Linked DNA regions of Drosophila melanogaster. The gene in region 2 interacts genetically with the main gene of each other region. Each region holds a gene or a part of one and is shown on either strand. Other genes may lie near its edges.

Region 1 (6,825 bases), on a different chromosome or scaffold from region 2:
CGCATGCGCAACGTCCGCATTTTCTAGTGGTTTACAACGCTTAATTATATCGAGGAGCCGAGTCCTTAGTGCCCCTGTTGCACCTGTTGTGGCTAGAGTTGATCGCTGACCTTCTGTTAGAACTGTAAGTATGGGTTCGATGCGATGCGGGGCAGGTGAGTAGAGTCGATGGGATTGGAGAAGGGGAGTGGAGTGGCAGCTGTTGAAGATCCTACCCCAACTAAAAGGATTCTGGCAATGTCTCTGCTGTTGCTTTTGTAACTTCAATTGACTTCCCCCTCGCTAATTGTATCCTGTCGCGTTTCCTTTTCCCCTAGCCCTACCCCTCCCTCCCCTCCTCGCTTCCTTTCTTCCTTCATTTATTTTCCTTTTTCCGTGTGACATATGGGCCTGGCGTTATATTCGCCACGATTTATGGACCTCCCTTCGGCCTACCATTCAGTTCGACACCTTTTTTTCCTACCCCATATGCGAATGCTTTTTAGCCAACGACTTTCTTTCCCCTACTTTCTTGTTCTTACGCAACGGATTGTCTATTTTCCTCACTTTTTGCCTCGCTTTTCTTTTGCGTTTTCCGGCCTTTTCTCATGCACAATATTTTGCTGTTTCCAACCATCATTTTCACACTAATTGCGGATATGCCTTCTAATTAATTGGGTTCCCTCTGCTTCCCCGAAGTCCTTTTAGAGCATTTTTGCTTTCTTAGTTTTCAACCCCCTAACTATTCTACTTACAACAAAGAAATTTCCTTACACAGAAAAATAAGTCTCTTTGGTCATTTAAGAATATGTTAAAAATCTTAAAACAATTAATAAGATCATCATTTAAATCGTAATCCCAATATAAAGATCTGGGTTTTGTAAATATTCGAGCTCAAAAAACATTATGAAACAATTTGTATCTTTAAGATACAGCAGAAACCTAAAAACGCAATAGAATAGACATTTATCTCTCAGTTGTAATCATGTTACACATCTAACATCATTTATAGTCGGATTAATGTAATCTTTTTTGTAAATCACAAAACGTCCTAAAATTAATATTCGTTAATAAGGATGCGATAATATCCTTTAGTTTTACAAAACAGTTGACAGCGGCTCTTGGCAAACAAATGACTGTATTATCGCTAGAGCAATCCAATTCTTGTCCAAATACCAGTGACTAAGATAGATTCCTACCTAATTGCAGGAACTGCCCACACGCAGGCTGCGGCTGCAACTTCCTCTAATGAAGATTAAGTGAAGAAGGCTGCGAGTTCGGGCGAAATCCGCGGCGACAGGTATACAAATATGAATAATGCCGCGGATCGAGCGGATAAACTCGGGGGTTTCCTTTGCGCACAGCGCCTAATTAAAGGTGTACGATGCATGAGTGAATCTGTTTACCTGGACGGGGTCCTTCAAGGTCATTTAACTGGAAAACCGAGTGTCGAAAATAAAGTCGACCGTATTTTTTTCCCTCATCTTCGGAATATTTGCTTTGTGCGGAAGATTTCCCACAAGGAAATGGGACCAAGTCTCGAGATACAATATGAAATGCAACTTGAGGCAATGCAAAGAAGAATGCGCAAAATGCGCAAAGAAGAGCGCAAAAAAAATTATATACAAATATGTATGTATCTCGAGTATATGCCAGACTATATACATATGTACATATGTAGAGGGAAAACAGGTCTCGAGTTATCCGGCGTCTTCAACTGTCTGGGCCTGCAATTTTTGTGCGTCCTTTTTGGGCTGCATTTTGGGCTCCTCTGCACATGCGGCGAGATACATTCCTGAGATACTCGAGATAAAAATGCACATGCATCTGGGCATTTGTGGCGTTGTCCATGCCAATGCCGCCTCCTCTCCATTGTTGTGGTTTGGCCACCACTCTTGCAATTAGTTGGAACTCGGTGGACCGAAAGTCTGCAGGAGTTGTGTAACAACATAGCTACATAATGCTGATAGGGTAAGAGGGTGAAGTTCATTAGGAAGATATTTTCTCAAATCGAAAGCCTAATCATATTTGCATAATATGAAACTATAAATAATACTACTAAAAGTTTAAACCAATACACGAAGATTGCTTTATAAGCATCATTGAATTGAACCCGATCTTTGATGCTTCCTTTTCATACTCATGAATGCGTTTAAATTCTAATGGTCAATTGGCCCAAGTTTGCTGTGTTGCTTCAGTCGCATATGCCCACCCTACCCAGAACTACAGGGTACTGCAAACGAGAACAGGAAAGTCGATCCTCGCCTGCGCGCATCAGTGTATCTGTGAGTCCGAGTATCTGAGTATCTGTGTGCCGGGTATCTAAAGAGCGCCGCCTGGGCAAAACGGCGTGTGAAAGTAAAGTCGGCCCAGCCGATGGAGGAGAACAAATCAAAGTTCTTGAATGGAGCGGCAGCGGCGGCGATGGCGACGGCGGCGTTCCAGTTCCAAGAATCGATGGCCTTGAAGTAGCCGTTAGGACATCGGGACGCGCTCAATTGACTATTTAGTTTATATTTAGCAGCGTCTAAAAGGATGCCCACAGCGAGTCAGCTAGCTCAAGTGGCCTGCGTCCTGTCTCTTCCCCGCTCCACAAATCGCCAGTCGGACGGACTATCCTTTGTTTGTCTGGGAATAACTGGAAACTGTTTATCATTGTTGTTTCTGCTCCTCATACATACGGCTTCACCTCATTCCGATTCCGAATCGGATTCTTCTGCCGCAGCGACAAAAATGTGTATGGACTATAAAAAAAAAATGCCCACATATACATACATATGTACATATGAACCATTTATTTAAGGAGTTACTATTCACAACTCATCCTTTTGGAGAACATGTAATATTTGTAAAACATTCCGCACTTGTAATTGAGAAATATTGTTGGTATTTTACTAGGAATTCGGGTTAATATGGCCAGTTGATATGTGTGGATTCCTATAACCATTTACGTATGTATGTACATATGATGAGAAAATATTCGAGATCAGTTTGGGTTCCCATCTCGTCTAGAAAATCCTTTGATGACATACCGCTTTCGAAGGTGGCAAGCACTTGGAGGATCATGAGCAGAATTGAAAGGTGTTGACTAGGATTTGAATAGATCATATAAGGAGTGTTTAGGTGGGTCAAACAAAAGAAAATGTTGGGAAAATATACAAAATTCACGACACTGAATCATCAAAAACTTGATGCTCTTACTTTTTTCAAAATCACTTCTAAGAAAAACAATTTATTTCCCCATGGTTTAAACTGGCCAAATCTAAACATAAGCGGCTGATTTTCGGCACGATCATGACATAATCGAAAAATTAAGTATACAAAAATCCACCCCATCAACAATACACCACCCACCCCCCACGCACACCCCCGCCGCGATCGCTCCAAAAGTTTAACGGCGCAAAAAGCGAACACGCAAACTAAAAAACGTCAAAAGAATGCAAAAAATAAAGAAGAAAGCAAAAATTGCGAAGAAAACAACAACAAAATGAATGTGGCAGGTAAATGGAAGCAGAGGAGAAGAGGAAAGAACGAAGATGGCGCGAAGCAAGGTGGAGACGAAGGGGAAGCGAAAGCAAAACGCCGAGAAATATCAATGAACTCCATTCTCCACTTGGCAGTCTATCTCGCTCACTCATTGGTTGGGAGCACGTACATAGAGTAACTACTCACAAAAATAAATATAACCACGATTTTACAATAATTAAAATACTATTATTAATTCTACATATGTAAACATACATACATATGTATGTACGTAGATTGTGGGTAAGGGCTAAATGCCACTACCAATCTTTTTCTTCGTGTACCAAAGATATTTGCGCCACTTTTGACATAATTCATTATTTTGTTCTTCACTCGTTTACTCCATTTTGCTTTGAACCTCTGCTTCGTGTTCGTCAAGTTTTCGAAAGGTCCGTCGACTGATCGGCGATTTTCCGAATTTTTTCGACGTCGCAGTCAAATGCTCTCTTTTTTTCCGTTTTAGAGCGCAGTACTAAAACGTTTTTGTTTGTTGTTGGTGTTGGGAAGGGGAAAATAACTTGACTCGCTGTTCTGATTGGAATAAAACGGAAGAGAGCGAGAGAAAGAGAGCTTACTCTCTCTCTTAGCGAGCGCATTTCTTCCAAGTTTGTGCTTGTGTGTGTGTCATTGGAGGAAGCGTATAAAAATGAAATGAGCATGGGAAAAGAATGGAGAAACGCAAAGTGGCGCGAATTAGGCGTTTGGGCTGGGGCAGTTTTGTTTTACCGCCCAAAATCTATGCGAATGGCGGGAAAAAGTGCAATTCGGGCGGGAGAAAGATTAGAAAGTTGGCCCAAACAGCAGGGTAAACCATAAGCTGCATCTCAAGCCTTCTATAGTAAGAAAAGCTGTAATAGTTCACTGAACTCCCGTTACGCATTAGAAACTCAGTGCACTTTTAGACGTGATTAGAAGCTTTCATTTATTTCATAGGATTTTCCAATTTGTTCCCATTGGATAACGGTTTAATTCTAATAGGACACTTTTCCTTATAGGGGGAACACTAAAACACTGTGTGGGGGAGACAATTTGTAGTTGGACACCCCGTCTCTTGCCAATCAGAAAGCAACGGTTAAATCCTACAGCGTGTCAATTTTCTTATAAGAGGATGTTGTATTTGTAGCAAAAAATGCAAAGACACGACGGCAAACGCAGCATTCTCTCCCGCTCTTTCCTTCACTGTTCCACACACACTTGTCACCGCACACGCGTCATAAATTTTATTCCACTCTGAATAACGTATTGCCTTTTATCCACTAAAACCATTGTGCAATTGGTTTTACCTTCTAGTAAGCGGAAAAATGCTTAACATAATATCCCCGGTGTTTTCACTTGTTTTTCTTAAAGGGAATTGAACAACGTTTTTCGAGAGTTTTTCGTCGTCGTCGTCGCCGGCCACGAAAAAACTTCACGAGCAGCGGAGCGGCGGCAGCAAAGTGATCGCTTTGGAACCGAAAAAAAAATTGGTGGAACTGGGTATCAAAAGCAGCGACGTCGACTGCGGCGAGTGTGCATGAGGAACGCGCCAAAACAGGCGGATCCGAAGCGCCAAAAAATGCAACAAACACAGGGGGCAACTTTGTTGTACTCTAGGGGAGGGACGGAGATGGGGCGAGCATCTCCAGCGCAAAGAACAGAGCGTGAGAAAGCGAGACGGGGCGATGAAGCCGCTGGTGGCAAGCTTGGCATTTTATTGAATGGAGTCTGCAATTGGAGTCCCCAGTCCCCAACAGGCTAGTCAGACTACAATTGGAGGTTCGACGTCCAGTCAGCTGGGTGGTCGAAAAACAGCTGACGAGGATGCCAGAAGGGCGGATTTAGTCGGATATATCGTGGTTATATATAAATACCTAAGATTTATTTCTATGTCATATGCCAATTTTAATTCAAATATGACCTTCAGAAAATAAATATTTAAATTTTAATATGAAACTATTTTTTTTAATATATTTTTAAAGCGCTCCAAAATCAATTCAAGGTTAAAATAAATTTATCTTGAAGGGTATTCATAAATCTTTAAAATTTTAATTATTTATTTATTCTTCAGAAGCCTGAAATTACATGGTTTAATATGCTTTTCTAGTAGTTTTTATGAACTGCAGCCAAATAACATATGACAAGATGACTGAGGTCGAACTAGGTGGTAACGCTGCTTTGAAACCAAACAAACCACTGCCACTTTGTTGTTTTCATCGATTAACATTCGAGCATTTTTGGCACCAACTTCGAGCGCTTATAAATCAGGTAAGCTAAATGAAAAACCATGCGTGCCTATAACCAATTGAAAGATCAAAACTCGCAGAATCTGATTTTTCACTAAAATCGAAAATCCCGTTCAATTCGGCCAAATTAGAATCGATTGAACTTGATGATTTCCCGCGCGCGGGAACCCGACGTCGGCGCGCGCTGCTGACAGCGATGACAGCTGCGCGCGCAAAGAGAAGGCGCGGAAGAGAGCGCGAGAGGGGCAGGGGAACAGAGAGAGAAAGAGGCAAAAACGTCGACGTCGCTGCTCACGTTTTTTTTCCATTACTTTTCGACTGCTACAATATCGATGGAGAAAACGGGGTCTAAAGGAAATGGCTTAAAAAGCAAGTTCACGAACTTTTGAACCCTGCACCTGCTGCAAATCGAATGGGCCAATTGGCCGGCATCACTCACCTGCTGTTGGGCAGGATTCGGGCAAATTCTCAGCGGGATTGCACACTGAAAAACACACGCGGACTGGAATGGTGATGAAAAAAATTGCACACACCGCCGCACACATACACACGCACGCCAGCCAGCAAGACAGTATAGCCTCCTTTTTGTCACCTTTTTCGACAGATTTATCGTGGTTCTGCGGTCTTTTTCACGGCTAGCTCAACCCCACGGCAGTCAAGGCCAATTCGATGCGATCCCCGCGATTTTTCAGCGACTCCAAAGTAACACAATGATCGCAAGTGGCACTGTGACGAGATCGAAATCGAGAGAGCGATGAAAGAGCAAAAAAAAAGGCCATAATCATCTGGCCACACGGCGCAAAGAGAGAGTCGGAGTTTAGTGGCAGCGGCGTTGCCACTACGGCCGATCGCGTTGCGGGATTTTTATTGGCGCGTTATTCAAATTTTGAAAAATAACTTCTATGTTAGCCTGACTTTTACTGCTCTGCATATTTAGTTCACTATTTTTCCGGGCTGATCATATCTGGAAATCGGGTATTTAAAATAATAAAAGATGTGCAACGTGCTTAATGTTAAATGGGGTTTTAGAAAAGAAATTGTATTATATAAATTTTGCTTTGATTGTTCGATTAACGGATATTAAATAATTGGATTTTCC
Region 2 (8,617 bases):
TTGCTGCTGATGCCGCTGCCGTGTATCTGCATCTGTTGCCCGCGTACAGTGGTTATTGCCTAAGTGCCACTGCTGTTGCAATTTAAAATGTTACTACAATAACGTAAACTGAAATATGTATTAGCGTATTCATTGAAACATTTCATCTATCTTTTACGCTCGCTACTTGTACATTTGAATCAGTTTGGGTGCAATAAAGACTGTTTTGCAATCTTTTGACATTGTTTTTATGGCATTTATCACTGTAGGTGCAGCAGCAGCAAACGGCAATTGCATCTGCATTCTTTCCACTTTTCTTGCTGCCGCTGTTGTTGCTGCATTGCCTTGTGCAATTTATTAAATGAAAAATGCCGTTTTGCAGCTTTCCAAGTTGCTATACATGTACAGACCAGCGCATATATATATATATCTATATATATGTACGAATAGTTATACTTATATATGCATGTATCTTTATACATACGCGTATGGATGTGCTGGCATCTTTCGCCGCAAAAGCCAAATTGAATTTTATGCAAATTTTTTTAGCTCGTTTTGAGTCGGATAGAAATCGCCACATCTAATGCACAATGCCTGGCAGCACACGCATTCACGCCTCTCCCCTATTTTGCAGCTCTTGTTTCGATCGCCCGATTTGCGTTCTTTATGCAATTGGCCGATCCAGCAATCCAGCAATCCAGCAATCCGGCCATCCGGCGATCCATCGAAATCGAACCAACCGCTCGATTGTCCGCTCTCGAATTAAAATGCCACAGGTGGAATTAGAACGCAACAATCTGGTTGGGACTAGAGTACACAGCGAGAAATATGGCAACATACTGATGATAAGGTTAAGTTAATGTAGTAAGATATACCAATGAACTGACTCATTTATTAGAATACCGTTGCACCGTTTCTTGCGGTGCACCTATTGCTTTTTTATATCTTTTTCTGTGCTACCGATCGGATGCAGATACTCAAGTACAGCCCCCGCCGCTGGCGCCACTCTGTCCGACTTATGACAGCGATCGTTAACCGCTTTCGCTAGGCCTTTTTGGCGGCGATTTGAGTTTATGTAAAACAAACGAGTTCGAATCACTATCCCAACTGGTAGCCAAACGATTTTGTTGCTATTTCATACTTTGATTTTTTCCCCGTGCTTTTTTGGTTATTTCTTTTTTTTGTAGCTCCTATGAATAGATCGAAATACTGTCACCAAACACGTTTTCTGTCTAAAAACGCACACGAAAAATATTCCACTATGTCGCCGCCTTGTTTATGGCTAAACAATTGGTAAAAAAAATAATACACAAAAACTTGCGAAAAAATATGAGCAACGAAAGAAGAAGACGGGCGTCGAAAAAATGCCAAATCGCATGGCCAAGTCAAGTCGTTGTTAACTTTTGTTTATACAAAAAACAAAAGAGAGCCAACAGCAACGAAAATCACAAAAAATACCGCCCGTCGAAATGCTGTATGAACATTTACTTAAGTTGAATACGCTGCGAATTTTAAAATCCATTATTTTGATCAGTCATTTTATTAGTTTACAGACAAAAGTCATCTAATTAATTGATTGAATCTTACACGATTTACTATCTAATGAGGATAATGCCTAAACTTAAGCCGAATTTGAAAATTATAGACATTACAAACAGAATCTACTGTTAAACTATTGCAAACATGTTTATTTAATTTTAGAAAACCTTAGAAAAACCTGCGTCAAAGCCGGCCCAAGCAATTATCGGTAAAATATTTCAAGGGTATCGATAATTCGACCTTGCATGCTCATATTGGAATAGATATTTATTTTTTCTGTGATTTCTGTTGGCTGTGCTCGAAACGTGGCGAGGCCTTTAAAGGTTGCCCGAGGCCTGGCTCGCTTCGCTTTATTGTAGAAATTTATTTATGGTTTATTGGAATTTTTGCGCGCTACCGGCAGCAATTTTGAAAATTCAATAGCAATAGCAAGTTGGATGCGGGGGATCGATAGACAGCCGAAGAGGGGACCAAAAAGCGTATATGATTTGGATACAAAATATGCGCGACTGGGCAAAATACCAATAAGGGGTGTATACAGCATTAAATAGTTTTGTTTGGTCAATAGAAATGGTAAAACTATTTTGGAAAAATATGGAATAGTTAGTTAAATTCGAAGACATACTTTGCAGATGTATACAGAAAATACCAATAAAACATTTACTCTTGTTTTTATTTCTTATATTCTATGGTATCCCTCTTCATAATCTGATTGGTTTTTCAAATAGTAAGTAAATCCCCTAAGGTCATTTAAGCTTTAAATTTCTATAACCCCGAAATCGGAACGTAACGCTCATAGATCGCTGACTTTTTGTGCCCACTGGCAGACATTTGAACGACATGTGTGCATTTATAATCTACTTGATGCATAACCCTAGCAAATGCGCAGATGTTTCGTTTCAATTTCAAAGGCGGGCGGGCGGAAGAGCTGAAATTCCACAACGCTTAATTCAGTGAAACATTTTCAACAATGTCCATGCGATTTGAAACAAACAAAGGGAATGTTTGTGTTAATTGAAAGCGTGAAGCGCACACAGCACCAAACGAACTGAAACAATAAGGCGTACACAGATAGAAATGCACTGGAAAAAATTAATATTCAAGCTTTGATGGCTTAATAAATCATTTGCAACGTGATATTGAAATTATAGAGTGTGTCTAATGTCAATGAAAATGCTGTACAACTGCAGAAAGGCAATAAGCATTTGCTATCGAGCAATTGAAGATACAAAATCCATCTAACACTACACATTTCTCTATCTGTGAAAAGCGAAAAATTGAACTCAGCGAAAGAGAGGGCGAAGAATTTCAGAAATCAATTATTTCGAAACTGCAAAAATTCCTACGTACATTTTGCAATTGTTTATGGGCAAAGCAACAGACAGAGATGGCGAGTGGGGCGGCAGCGAGGGGCGCGAGCGAGATGGAAGACAAAAAATGTGAGCGAACGGCAAACTAAAATGTATCTATGAGATACATGGCCTGATCGCCAGCGCTCTCGCTCGCTCTCCTTTGGCTCTCTCGCACTCATTACGTATGAGTTTGTTGGTTTTGTTTTCCTTTTATTTTACAGATCATTCGCCGAGCTTTATTTAACTTTTGCTCTCTCTCACTCGAATTTTTGTTGTTGTATTTCCCTGGCTTTACAATCCATTTTTTGTTTGTTGCCACTCTCTGTTCAGTTCAGTTATATTCGGAGTCTTAATCATCGCATCGGAATGTTTACTCCAAGTTTTTCCCCCGTTCCGTTGCGTTTTGTTTTGCCTGCTGCCGCTGCTGTCTTGTTTAAAATATGTAATTTATTTTGCTGCTGCCTCTTTATTTTATTTTCCTTTTATTTTTCTTTTTTTTTTTTGCTTCATTTCGCCTCCACCGATCGCATTCCTTTACACACACAGCTGCAGCACGCACCTTTTCTTTCCGGTTCAAGAGCGCTTCGGAATCGGAATTTATATGGGTTTTTTTTTTAGCTCGTTTGCCGGAGCTTCCTGAATGAGTGAACTGCTGATCTCTCACCTGCGTTTTATGCCTTCTTAAGCCACTAACAACTTGCCAAGAATTTTATTCTATTTTAATTTGATTCTCAATGAGTTATCTGCTTCACTTATTAGCCATTAAGCAGCAATTGGGGTTTATAAGCACTCTTGATAGTTTGCGATGTTAAAGCATCTATAACTTATTTAAAACACAACCTGTTGGTTTGGTCATTCGTTATGTATGCCTCATTTCTGATAATTGTTCTAGTAGTTTTAATAAGTTTAAACTAACTTTCCAAATGCAAATATCTTATAATTATATTTCAGATCGCCCTTGTTTCAATTTCGTTTCTTTAATTGACCCTTTCCGGAACACTTACCAATCTCTGGGATCCAGCCAGGTGGTCTTCTTGTTGATATGATCTATGTAATAGGTCTTGCCATCGAAATCCTTGGCGATATCCCAGCCATCGGGAAGTGGGAAGTCGCTGTGGTGTTGTTGCTGCTGCTGATGATGCGTGTGTTGTTGTTGTTGCTGTTGTTGATGATGATGATGATGTTGCTGTTGCTGCTGTTGGGGTCGCAGGTGGTGGGGATGCAGATGATGCTGCGATTGCGATGCGGTTTGTTGCAGATTCGGCATTTTAACTTTGTTTCTCGCCGTGTACTTTGGTTAGTCTGAGAAAACGTCGTTGTTGCTGGATTTTTCACCCGACGCGCGCCTTTTCTTTCTTTTCGCTATTGCTATCTACGTTTGCTTCTTTTTTCGGGGGGTTTCTCTTTGCGCTGTTTACATTAGCAAAGACATTTCAATTCCGTTTCTTTTGCTCCGGCGATAATGGAGACCGACCCGCACACACACACACACAACACGGCCACACGGTGACGGGCGTAGAGGCACACACCGAGCCAACTCGAATACACACGCGCGCAGGGGAGAGAGAGCGGGAGAGCGCGGGCGCGCTCTCAATTATTTATTTACTTTTTTCGTAACTGCATTCCATTCCAGCTCAAACACACGCACACATATGGGGGACGAACACAAGCGCACACGATCACTGCTCACAGTTGGTGCTGCTTCTTTTCATTTCTTGTTGTTGCAAGCGTTTGAACTCCTTTACTTATTTTCTTATTTTCGCCTAATTGAAACTAATTAACGACGATAATCCAACCATCCACTTGGTGTTCACAAAAAAATATGTACTTCAGTTTAGTGAGTTCGCGCCGTCGCCGATCTCTTCGGTTCCGGAATTCCTTGGGGGAGCAGCAAAAAACACGAGTAGCGCGCTTGATGACCGTCCGATTCGGATTCGGAATTTGTTTTGGTAACATTCGCTGCTAGTGGTGTAGCAGAAAACATCGCATTGCATATCGATACACTCGCGGCGATGTTATTCGATGTATTGGTTGATATCGATATTATAGGCTGTATTGACGCGGTTGCAGAGATGCGATATTTAACAATCATGCACGAAAAGTATTTATTGTTATTTGGCTTGTGTAGTCCCCAAGCATAGGTGTAATTGTTGAGGGAAGAAAATAGGAGTTGTACGTTCAAAGATCGGCTTGGTAACAGGAACTAGTTCGGTTCTTCAAGCGATGTTAATCAAAGCCAGTTCCGATAGATCATGTTAACTCGCTCTGTTAACAATTACTGTTATCTTAATCCTAACATTTCCGTTACATTTTAAAAACAGAAAAAGAAAAAATTTAAAAAAAAAGACTGTAAACTGAGTTACGCATTTCGAAATCAATATGTATCCCAACCATAGATAGAAAAATAAATTATGTTTCCGAAACATAACTTCAATAAAACCACAATTTCGCTTGCTTTGTACGTTTGATATTGTATTTGCATTTTATGAATTGTAAAAATTGAGTCAACAAGACTAACACAGCTTCAGCTCAAGACACATGCAATTTCATTGACATTGTTTAATTGTATATATTAAAGGAAATCAATTAGGATATAAAGAGAGAAACCTTTTTGCCGCTTATGCGATGCCAACTATCTGGATCTGGATTGTCTAACACGAAACCCTAACTAATTGGTAAATTAAACATAAATTAATCATATCGGTCAACAACTACAACTAAATATTAGTTATTAGCGGATAAAGAGCGCCCCATAAACTATTTACACTAAGCTTTAGTCTACTAGAGTCCCGGATTCCATCTCCGCTCCTCGGATCTTCGGATCTTAACTCAGATGTTCGGATCTTCAAGTTCTAGGAGAGAACTGGTGCAGTGCATCCGTTATTCAGGCGATACTCGGCATAGACCAGTCCGGTGTTGTGCCAGTGATAGAAGGCGGCCACGATGATCAGGTGCCACCAGTTGTGCGAATGCCCAACGAAGTCCACCTTGCCGGTGAACCAGCGCTCCGGAATCTTGGCCGCATAGAAAACGAAGGCGACGAGGCAGAGCAAGTACATGAGCACGATGCGGGGCACCATCAGCTGCAAATGGTAATGATTGATGGATTAGCAAATGACAAGATTCCATAAATTTCCAACTGATGCCTACCCTGACTAGCTCGTTCTCCAGACCGCCCATGGCCACCGCCCAGTGGCCCAGAGGTATGATTCCATAGGCAGACCAGAGTAGCAGCACCGCCACCTTGCCGTTCATGGACACATTCAAACGGGGTATCTGCACGGCAATGGCCAGTGCGAACATGCCCAGTGCAATCGTGGAGTACAGGGTGCGCAGGAAGGTGTGGCACCAGAAGGCATAGTACATGCCACTGATATAGATGGCCACCAGCGACAGCGAAATGCCCAGGAAGTCAACGGACAGAAAGAGCTCGTAGTGCTCCTCCGATTTGCAGGAGAAGATGTGGTATATGGCGGACATCAGCATGCACAGACAGAAGCAGACCAGCAGGCAGACCACCAGCACCTGGTCGCTCAGGGAGGCGTGGAGGCGCAGGAACTGCAGATCGAAGATGGTCAGTCCAATGAACAGGATGCAACCGGCCAGATGGCTCCAGATGTTGATCTATGAAAAATATAGCAATAATAATGTTATAATAATAGGGAATAGAGTTTAAGGAAAACTATTGTAGCTCCAATTGGAATGGAGTATCATTCTAGTGTGGCAATCTTACCGTCTCATTGGTCCACCAGAAAATGCTCTGCAGGCACATTTTTGTGGAAGGTAGAAAGGTGCGGTATCCGCGACGAATGTACGGGTTGAACTTCAGGTGACTGGGGGCCTGTATCGAAAGCACAAGTGAATAAACATTCCAAATAAATACAAAATTTTCCAAGCCGATAAGACATGCAAATCGCATGCGTGTAGCATTGAAAATAAAATAAAAACCAAATAGACAAAATGACAAAATAAAATAGAAACAAACGGAATAATTCGAGGATCTGGCACCCCGCCGAATGTAAAAAAAAAAAACCAAAAAGCTTTCCATTTGCTTCAATTGAAAGAAAATAAAACTAATTAATCCAATTTGTGTTGTTAGCAATCTTGTATGGGAATTGATTAAATGCCAAATACTGTGTATATTATTTACTTTCTTTGAATTTAACTAGCTAAGTTTTATATATTATAAAAAATCCATTTAATTAGTTAAACAAGTGCTAAGCTAGTTTTGCACTGCATTTATGTATTATTACCTTAATTAATGCCTTTCAATCGGAAACAGTAATTATTTCAAGCCCGTTTTAAGCCCAGTTCGAAGTCGAATATTTAACTTGGTCAAAACTAAGCATGGTCCGAAAAACCCAAGAAATTCGATTCGGGAGTTACCTTGAGGATTTTCACAAACATATATGTATGTAACTTGCATACCACCCAAAGAAAACAACAGTAGCTTCTTTTTATTTGCCACCGCTATTTAAATATTTAATGCCCGCGAAGCACAGAGCTTTTTATTTGTTGCTAGTCGCGACCTTGATTCAGTTGGCATTTGGTGGGTTTGTTCGTTGTCTAATTGTATTATTTGGCAATTGCTGCCAACTCGACCGCCATGGCGGATTTCACATATTTAAGCGTTTTGGCCATTTTACAACGGTCGCTTAATAATGCTTTTCTGGCCATACATACATACGTATGACGATAACAATTGGCCAAAATCAGTGTTAAAGCCATGTAAAATGCAATGAGTGAATATTTTCTGCGATTTGTCCCTGATTCTGACGTATTTTTTCAATTCGCCAAACAAAATTTGCGATCAATTAGAATTCAGTGCGCGACAATTGGCGACAAATTGACCCTACCAAAGTTCGCGCGTGGGGTTAACTCACATCATCGAAATTGCACAGCCATTTGAATTTGGACAGCTTGTCGTCGTAGTTGGGTCCATGCCCCAGAATATTGGGCTCCTCATTGGACGGAAATTGATGCGCTGCGTCCACCGAATCCGCAACCAGTTGGCCATCAAGCTGCGAAAAGAGATTTAAGATGGAATTAGTTAAAATGGAGGAAACCCTATCGATTAGCGGCAATTCGAAACTTAATTTGAATTGAGGACAAGAACGATGCTCAAGATCTATACTCATATTCTTCCGCCTTAGAAAACTGACGTTGGCAACTGGCGGGTTTGTTTCTCTGCACATTTGTGTATATTTTTAGCCAATAGAGCAACTGCAGTCGAAAAATTGATTTGTTTGCTTTTATTTTATTATTATCTTTTCTGCGGTTTCTGCTATTTTATACGTTGTTGTTGTTGTTGTTGTTTTCGTCTGGGGGTTTTCGGTTTCGTGTGTAAACAACCAACCAACCAACCAACCGACTAACCAGCATTGCAAAAATGCAATCAAAACATCGCTACTATTAGTGCCTCCAGCAAACTGCAGCAAAAATTGAGAAAGGGGGCTTGACTCTAATTTGTTTATACAGCTTCTAAATCTAATGCATAACAACAAACAACAACAACAACAACAAGTGTGGGAGGGCAAGTGCAAGTGCCTAAGCAAAAGTATCTTATCCAACGTGATGACGTTTTGTTTACAATTTGCATTGTTTTTTTTGCATTCCGCTTTAAAGGAAAATCATGTGCAGTAAGCGTCGTGCCCATAAATGCAGCAGTAAGTATAAAAATATATGCATTTTTCAATACAAATTAAATATAACCGCTCATTAAAACGAAATACAGGAACAATTGAATT
Region 3 (5,778 bases), 9.3 Mb from region 2:
AAGCCGGGGCACAACTTACATATTGATGGGAACCAAAATCAATGGCGGTTTCGTAATTGGCTCCGATTTTGCTCGGCTGGCGGATTTATCGGTTGCCCAAAGGAGCGCTTCCTGATTCGCCGTTTTTAGCCAGTTGACACACTTTCTGCATTCCCTTGTCCACTGACTTTTATTGTTGATTACTGCATTCTCCAATTCCAATACTCCAATACGCGTATTCCAATATTCCAATATTCTCTATCACGAAAATTAGCGCGAGCAGAGTCGAATTAGAAAATCAAAATAGAAGATAAACTAACTGGACAGTGCTGCCGGCCCGGCGGCTTTCGGTCATATCTGGCGGGTTTTTTTTTTGGCAAGCGTACGTTCGTGTATTTATTTCATTTAATACATTAGGCTTAAAAATAAACCTAAATGAAAACTAAAAGACACACGTATATTTTACAACATCTAGCCTTCCTTACATCGACCAAAAATAAAATAAAACCACATGCACAGAGAGACTTGTGAATTGAGCAGAACAAAAATTATAGCATCACCATAGGGATGCTCTCGTGACGTGACTGTGCGTTTGTACATCACTAGCTATGTCCATTTTTAGTACACTATCGGCGCACGCCGCTTTAAGTTGTCTTCAATTGGCAATAAGTTAGCAAATTGATATCTCACGATTAAACAAAGGTACCCAAAGGTGACCACGGGAGCGGCATGCTGTTGGGCGAATACGACACAACCCGGCGACTCCTTTTCATCGTGGCCGTTCTGCTGATTGTCCTGTATGCGAAGACGTACCTGCTGCCCGGCGAGGATTTGGTCCACAACTAGGGGACTACGGCGTCCCTGCAATAACCGATCCAATTGAGAAGTTGGCGCGATGACGGACCGTAGGGTGTCGTACTTCTACAACGCGGACGTGGGCAACTTCCACTATGGAGCCGGGCATCCCATGAAGCCGCAACGCCTGGCGGTCACTCACAGCCTGGTAATGAACTACGGACTGCACAAGAAAATGAAGATCTACAGGCCGTACAAGTGAGTTGGCGGAGAGGTGTGTCTGTGCCGCGTAAATTATACTAATCCGGAATTCTTTGCAGGGCCAGTGCGCAGGACATGCTCCGCTTCCACAGCGACGAGTACATCGCCTACTTACAGCAGGTGACTCCACAAAACATTCAGTGCAATTGTGAGTTGAAGAGGAAGTCGCCCAATTGGAATAACATTTAGAATAATCTGATAATTTTCTGTTCTTAAGCCGTGGCCTATACGAAGTACCTGGCGCACTTCAGCGTAGGCGAGGACTGTCCCGTGTTCGATGGCCTCTTCGACTTCTGTGCAATGTACACGGGTGCCTCGCTGGAGGGAGCCCAGAAGCTGAACCACAACCACAGCGACATATGCATAAACTGGTCGGGCGGACTGCATCACGCCAAGAAGTTCGAGGCAAGCGGATTCTGCTACGTGAATGACATCGTCATCGGCATTCTGGAGCTGCTTAAGTACCATCCTCGGGTGCTCTACATCGACATCGATGTGCACCACGGCGACGGGGTGCAGGAGGCGTTCTACCTTACGGACCGAGTGATGACGGCTTCGTTCCACAAATACGGAAACTACTTTTTTCCCGGCACGGGAGACATGTACGAGATAGGCGCCGAATCGGGACGATACTACAGCGTTAATGTGCCGCTAAAGGAGGGCATTGATGACCAGAGCTATTTTCAGGTGTTCAAACCCATAATTTCTGCCATTATGGACTTCTACCGGCCCACGGCTATCGTTTTGCAGTGTGGCGCGGATTCACTAGCTGGAGATCGACTAGGTTGCTTCTCCCTGAGCACCAAGGGACATGGTGAGTGTGTCAAATTTGTGAAGGAACTGAACGTACCCACATTGGTGGTCGGAGGCGGTGGCTACACCTTACGGAACGTGGCCCGCTGCTGGACGCACGAGACCTCGCTGCTGGTGGACCAAGACATTGAAAATGACCTACCCGCCACCGAGTATTACGACTTTTTCGCCCCCGACTTTACACTCCATCCAGAGATTAACTCACGCCAAGATAATGCTAACTCAAAGCAGTATCTTGAACTCATCGTTAAGCATGTGTATGAAAACCTTAAGATGTGCCAGCACTCGCCCAGCGTCCAAATGGTGCAGACCCCGCCTGATGTGGACTTGGAGGAGCTGCGCAGCAACCGGGAGGAGGCGAGTGATCCCGACGTGCGAATATCCGTAGCCGATGAGGACAAGCTGGTTGATGCTAAGAACGAGTTCTACGACGGCGATCAGGACCAAGACAAGCCCGATTCGGCAGAAAGTTAGTATTGGATAATGTAGAATAAGGATTCGAGTTTAGCGTAAGCAGTAAAGAGTATCAGCTTATTTTGTAACATCGTTTGGAACTATTTTTTTTGGAAGTAGCGCGTAGAAGACAATAGGTTTTAAAATCGACAGACACACATTTATTTGGGATGCATAATGGTACTTAATAGGAGGATTACATTAGTGACACATTGCTGGATCGGCGGAAGATCACCAACCAGTTGTGGTATTGGCCAGTCGTCGCATTCTGCGCGTGTTGCGGTCCTGGTCGCGGATTTTCTTCTCCATTTCGGCGTCGGTAAGCGTCTCTAGGAATGGCGCCCATGCGTCAGCGTCGCTGGGATTCCGGAAGGGCACATCAATCGTTGATAGAGGGGCCTCGCTGAAGGCGTACGTTCGACAGTGCCACGATAGCTGACCCCTAATGCTGTAGGCAATGGCCGTAACAAACTCTCCTCCCAATCCCAATTCCGCACAGAGTTTAATGGCAAACTCCTCGGGGTTGTTGTTCTTCTCGGACATGTCCCACTCGACCTGGTCGACGAGCGAGGTGTTGCCCACGTGAATGTTCAGCTTAACAATGACCCGCTGGTCGCAGGTCTCCTCGAGGATGGGGGGATCGTTGGGAAAGGCTTCGATCTGCTGTCGGATGGCCTGTGCAATAGCCGGCACAAAGGGCAGGGGATTGAGGTCCAGGTCGTCGCACAGCACCTCGGCAAACTGCTCCGGAGTAATCATGCTCTCGTTCTTGTTCCACGTGAAGGTGTCGCGCAGCTTTTGACCCTCTAGCTCCATGTCCAGTCGAATGGGCACCAGGCACTCCTTCTGCGCCGCATTCTCCAGGCTAGCCGTGGGATCCGTGTCGTCGAAACACATCGGGAATGTGCGAACCTTCTTCGTGTGCACTCGGTTTCGGTTGATTGGCGTGGCCTGTGGCACTGCGTCCAGGTGGCTGGAGTTCGGCATCGTGGGCACATACTGTGGCTGCTTCTTTGACTTGCTCTCCCGCGGCACTGGCGTATCGGAAGTGTTCACGGAGACGGCGCGATACCTGGGACGGAGATTCATGGTTAGTTAAATCAACTGTTAGCAAATTGACTGATTGGCCCTGCAAGCAGGCAAAATTTACCCAACATTCTGACAATAATACAATTCTCCGTGCTCAATTGGAAATCGTTGTCAATCATACAGACTATTGTGGCAGCTTTGCCAAAAATGTCTATGACATTTTTCCATATTTTTTCAAAATAACTGGGCAGTGTGTGGCTATGTGTGTTTGTATACGTCTTCACTTCAGAATGATAAGTGGTTTTTAACTAAGTGGTCATTAACAATGTTACTAAAATGAAGAATCTTCAGCCAAATGTACACATGTCTTATATTTGATAAAAGGATTACTTGATACCATTGGATTAAACATTTAAAAACAAACGTTTAAGTAGGACTAGTAGGAAGTAGATATCAACGAAGTTAATTGGAATTTTTAGGAAAGGCCCTATTTAGTTACTATTCTGGGGACATTACTTAGGTAAGACGCCCACTTACTTTTCATCGTTGCCGGCCATGATATCATCCACCTCTACGGCGCGGAGCAGCGATACAGAGCTGGCTAAGATGTGGGAGCTGAGGCCGGACTCAGCCAGCCGCTTGCGCTCCTCGTTGGACAGGACGATGCGGGTCATTCCCGGGTACTTCTTGTACAGAATGCCGCGGAAGTGGCGCATGTAGTTGCCCACTTCCGAGCCCACGTAGTAGTACTCGCCGCCCTCCTCCAGCTGGAAGGCCACCGGCTTGTCCCCGTATGTCTGCAGTGCCATGTTGGGTATATTTTCTTCTGTGGTCTCTCAATGCCCTGTTTCTGGCAGGGATTCCTTGTTAATATTCCGCGACTTAAATTTTCTTGGCGCATACACAAACACAGACATGTACATGGCGTCTATTGCGGGAGTGTTGGAAAACGAGCGGGTGCCACCAACGCAATTTAGTACTGGCGCCTTTTAGCTACAAAACGCTAAATAAAAAGCTGAAAGTATTTTTCGTTATAATTACTCGATTAAATGATAAAATTATAATTCATAAAGAAACATATTTAGTTATTATTATTTTTTTTTAATTATACATCTCTGAATAAATATAGAAACAACAAGAAACAAATATTATTAAAATGTATAAGTTAAGTTATAAGTTATAAAATTATATTTACGGTTAGACTGCCATCACTGCCACAAAAACCCGTGCAACACTAGTTCCCATGCGCGAAAACATATTCGTTACTTATTTTTAAGATCGCTTTAAAGATGTCATTCTTACGCAGTGCTGTTGGTCTCCTGGCTCGTGTCAAGCTCTTGGAGGGCTCACCGACTGGTGAGTAACCCGGATTCACCTAATGCCAGTCAGTAATCGTGATTTTCGGCAGTGCAAACGAGGCGCCACATCAAGCGATGGGTTTCGCCAACGTTACGTGAGCTCGCCCACCGGCAGAAGAAACTAGGACCACAAAAGCCAGAGCGGCGTTCTGGGTTCGTGGAGTGGAACCAGCGATCGGAGCTCTTCGCGTTCGGCAAGCGTTTGGGCGAATCCTTTGAATTGTCGGAGCTGCAGCGTGCTTTTACAGAGAAATCGTTTGCAGAGCGGGAGGAGGATCGTCGTCGGCAGCTAGGCATTGAGGAGTCTGACCTCCAGATGCCTCACAATAGCGATCTGGTCGAGAAGGGCCAACAAATTGCCCGTGCCTACGTTGAGGCCTTCCTGCAGCACCAGTTACCGAAGGTCCCTAATGAAGGACTCCAGGCGATCGCCAGTTATCTACTTAGCACCGAAACGCTTGCTCACGTCTCGACCCACCTGGGCACAAAGGATCTGATACAGTCTACGGAATACCCGCCCTCGGCCGAAAGTCAGGCCAAATCTTTACACGCAGTTATTGGCGCCCTGGCCAGTTCCAGTGGAATCGAGAGGGCTTTCATTTTTGTACGCGATTTCATCTGCACGCAACTGAATCAAAAGGACCTGTTGGAGGTGTGGACTCCCCAGGAACCAATCCAGCTGCTGGAGAAGATATGCCAGGAGCGAAAGCTGGGCGAAGCGGAGCCCCGCCTGCTTGGAGACTGCGGAAAGAACACTGTGCTAGCCGCCTACCAAGTAGGCATCTACGCCAACCGGCAGCTACTGGGCAAGGGATTCGGTGAAGATGTGAAAACAGCCACAGAGACTGCGGCACTCGACGCTCTGCAGAGCATCTTTGACACCCGCGACAACCGGAGACCCTTTGACTTTGCCATTCAGCTAGAACCAAAGACCGTGCGACTTGGCTGAGAATCAAAACTGGCTCTGCGTCCTTGTTGATTATTGTAATTTGCACTAAACACATGTACGCATGCATTGTCAGAAAAGATTGCGTTTTAAAATCATTTAACTACGGGTGAACAACTGCCTCTTAATCGCTATCGTCGCGCT

The links. A genetic interaction does not mean that the proteins touch.
Region 1: of kibra (region 2) and CycE, changing one suppresses a phenotype caused by changing the other (phenotypic suppression), as found in Drosophila melanogaster (2 studies listed by BioGRID).
Region 3: of kibra (region 2) and Snr1, changing one suppresses a phenotype caused by changing the other (phenotypic suppression), as found in Drosophila melanogaster (one study listed by BioGRID).

What each region holds. Positions count from the first base shown.
Region 1 is NT_033779.5:15,741,668-15,748,492, forward strand, and holds the start of CycE (cyclin E), read right to left. Parts: upstream 4,944-6,825; 5' UTR 4,817-4,943; coding exon 4,788-4,816; exon of another isoform or gene 4,590-4,787; intron 3,977-4,589; exon of another isoform or gene 3,725-3,976; intron 1-3,724. UniProt on the Drosophila melanogaster protein: Essential for the control of the cell cycle at the G1/S (start) transition. Targeted by archipelago for degradation by the SFC ubiquitin ligase complex.
Region 2 is NT_033777.3:14,719,437-14,728,053, forward strand, and holds the start of kibra (kibra), read right to left. Parts: upstream 4,826-8,617; 5' UTR 4,138-4,825; coding exon 3,875-4,137; intron 1-3,874. Other genes in the region: CG7530 (uncharacterized protein), read right to left, coding at 5,723-5,953, 6,021-6,494, 6,604-6,711, 7,754-7,891. UniProt on the Drosophila melanogaster protein: Regulator of the Hippo/SWH (Sav/Wts/Hpo) signaling pathway, a signaling pathway that plays a pivotal role in organ size control and tumor suppression by restricting proliferation and promoting apoptosis.
Region 3 is NT_033777.3:5,469,420-5,475,197, reverse strand, and holds Snr1 (Snf5-related 1), read right to left. Parts: upstream 4,273-5,778; 5' UTR 4,140-4,272; coding exon 3,868-4,139; intron 3,374-3,867; coding exon 2,533-3,373; 3' UTR 2,444-2,532; downstream 1-2,443. Other genes in the region: CG45100 (uncharacterized protein), read left to right, coding at 709-825; HDAC3 (histone deacetylase 3), read left to right, coding at 875-1,032, 1,095-1,183, 1,253-2,322; mRpL44 (mitochondrial ribosomal protein L44), read left to right, coding at 4,620-4,686, 4,739-5,637; POLDIP2 (polymerase (DNA-directed), delta interacting protein 2), read right to left, coding at 5,759-5,778.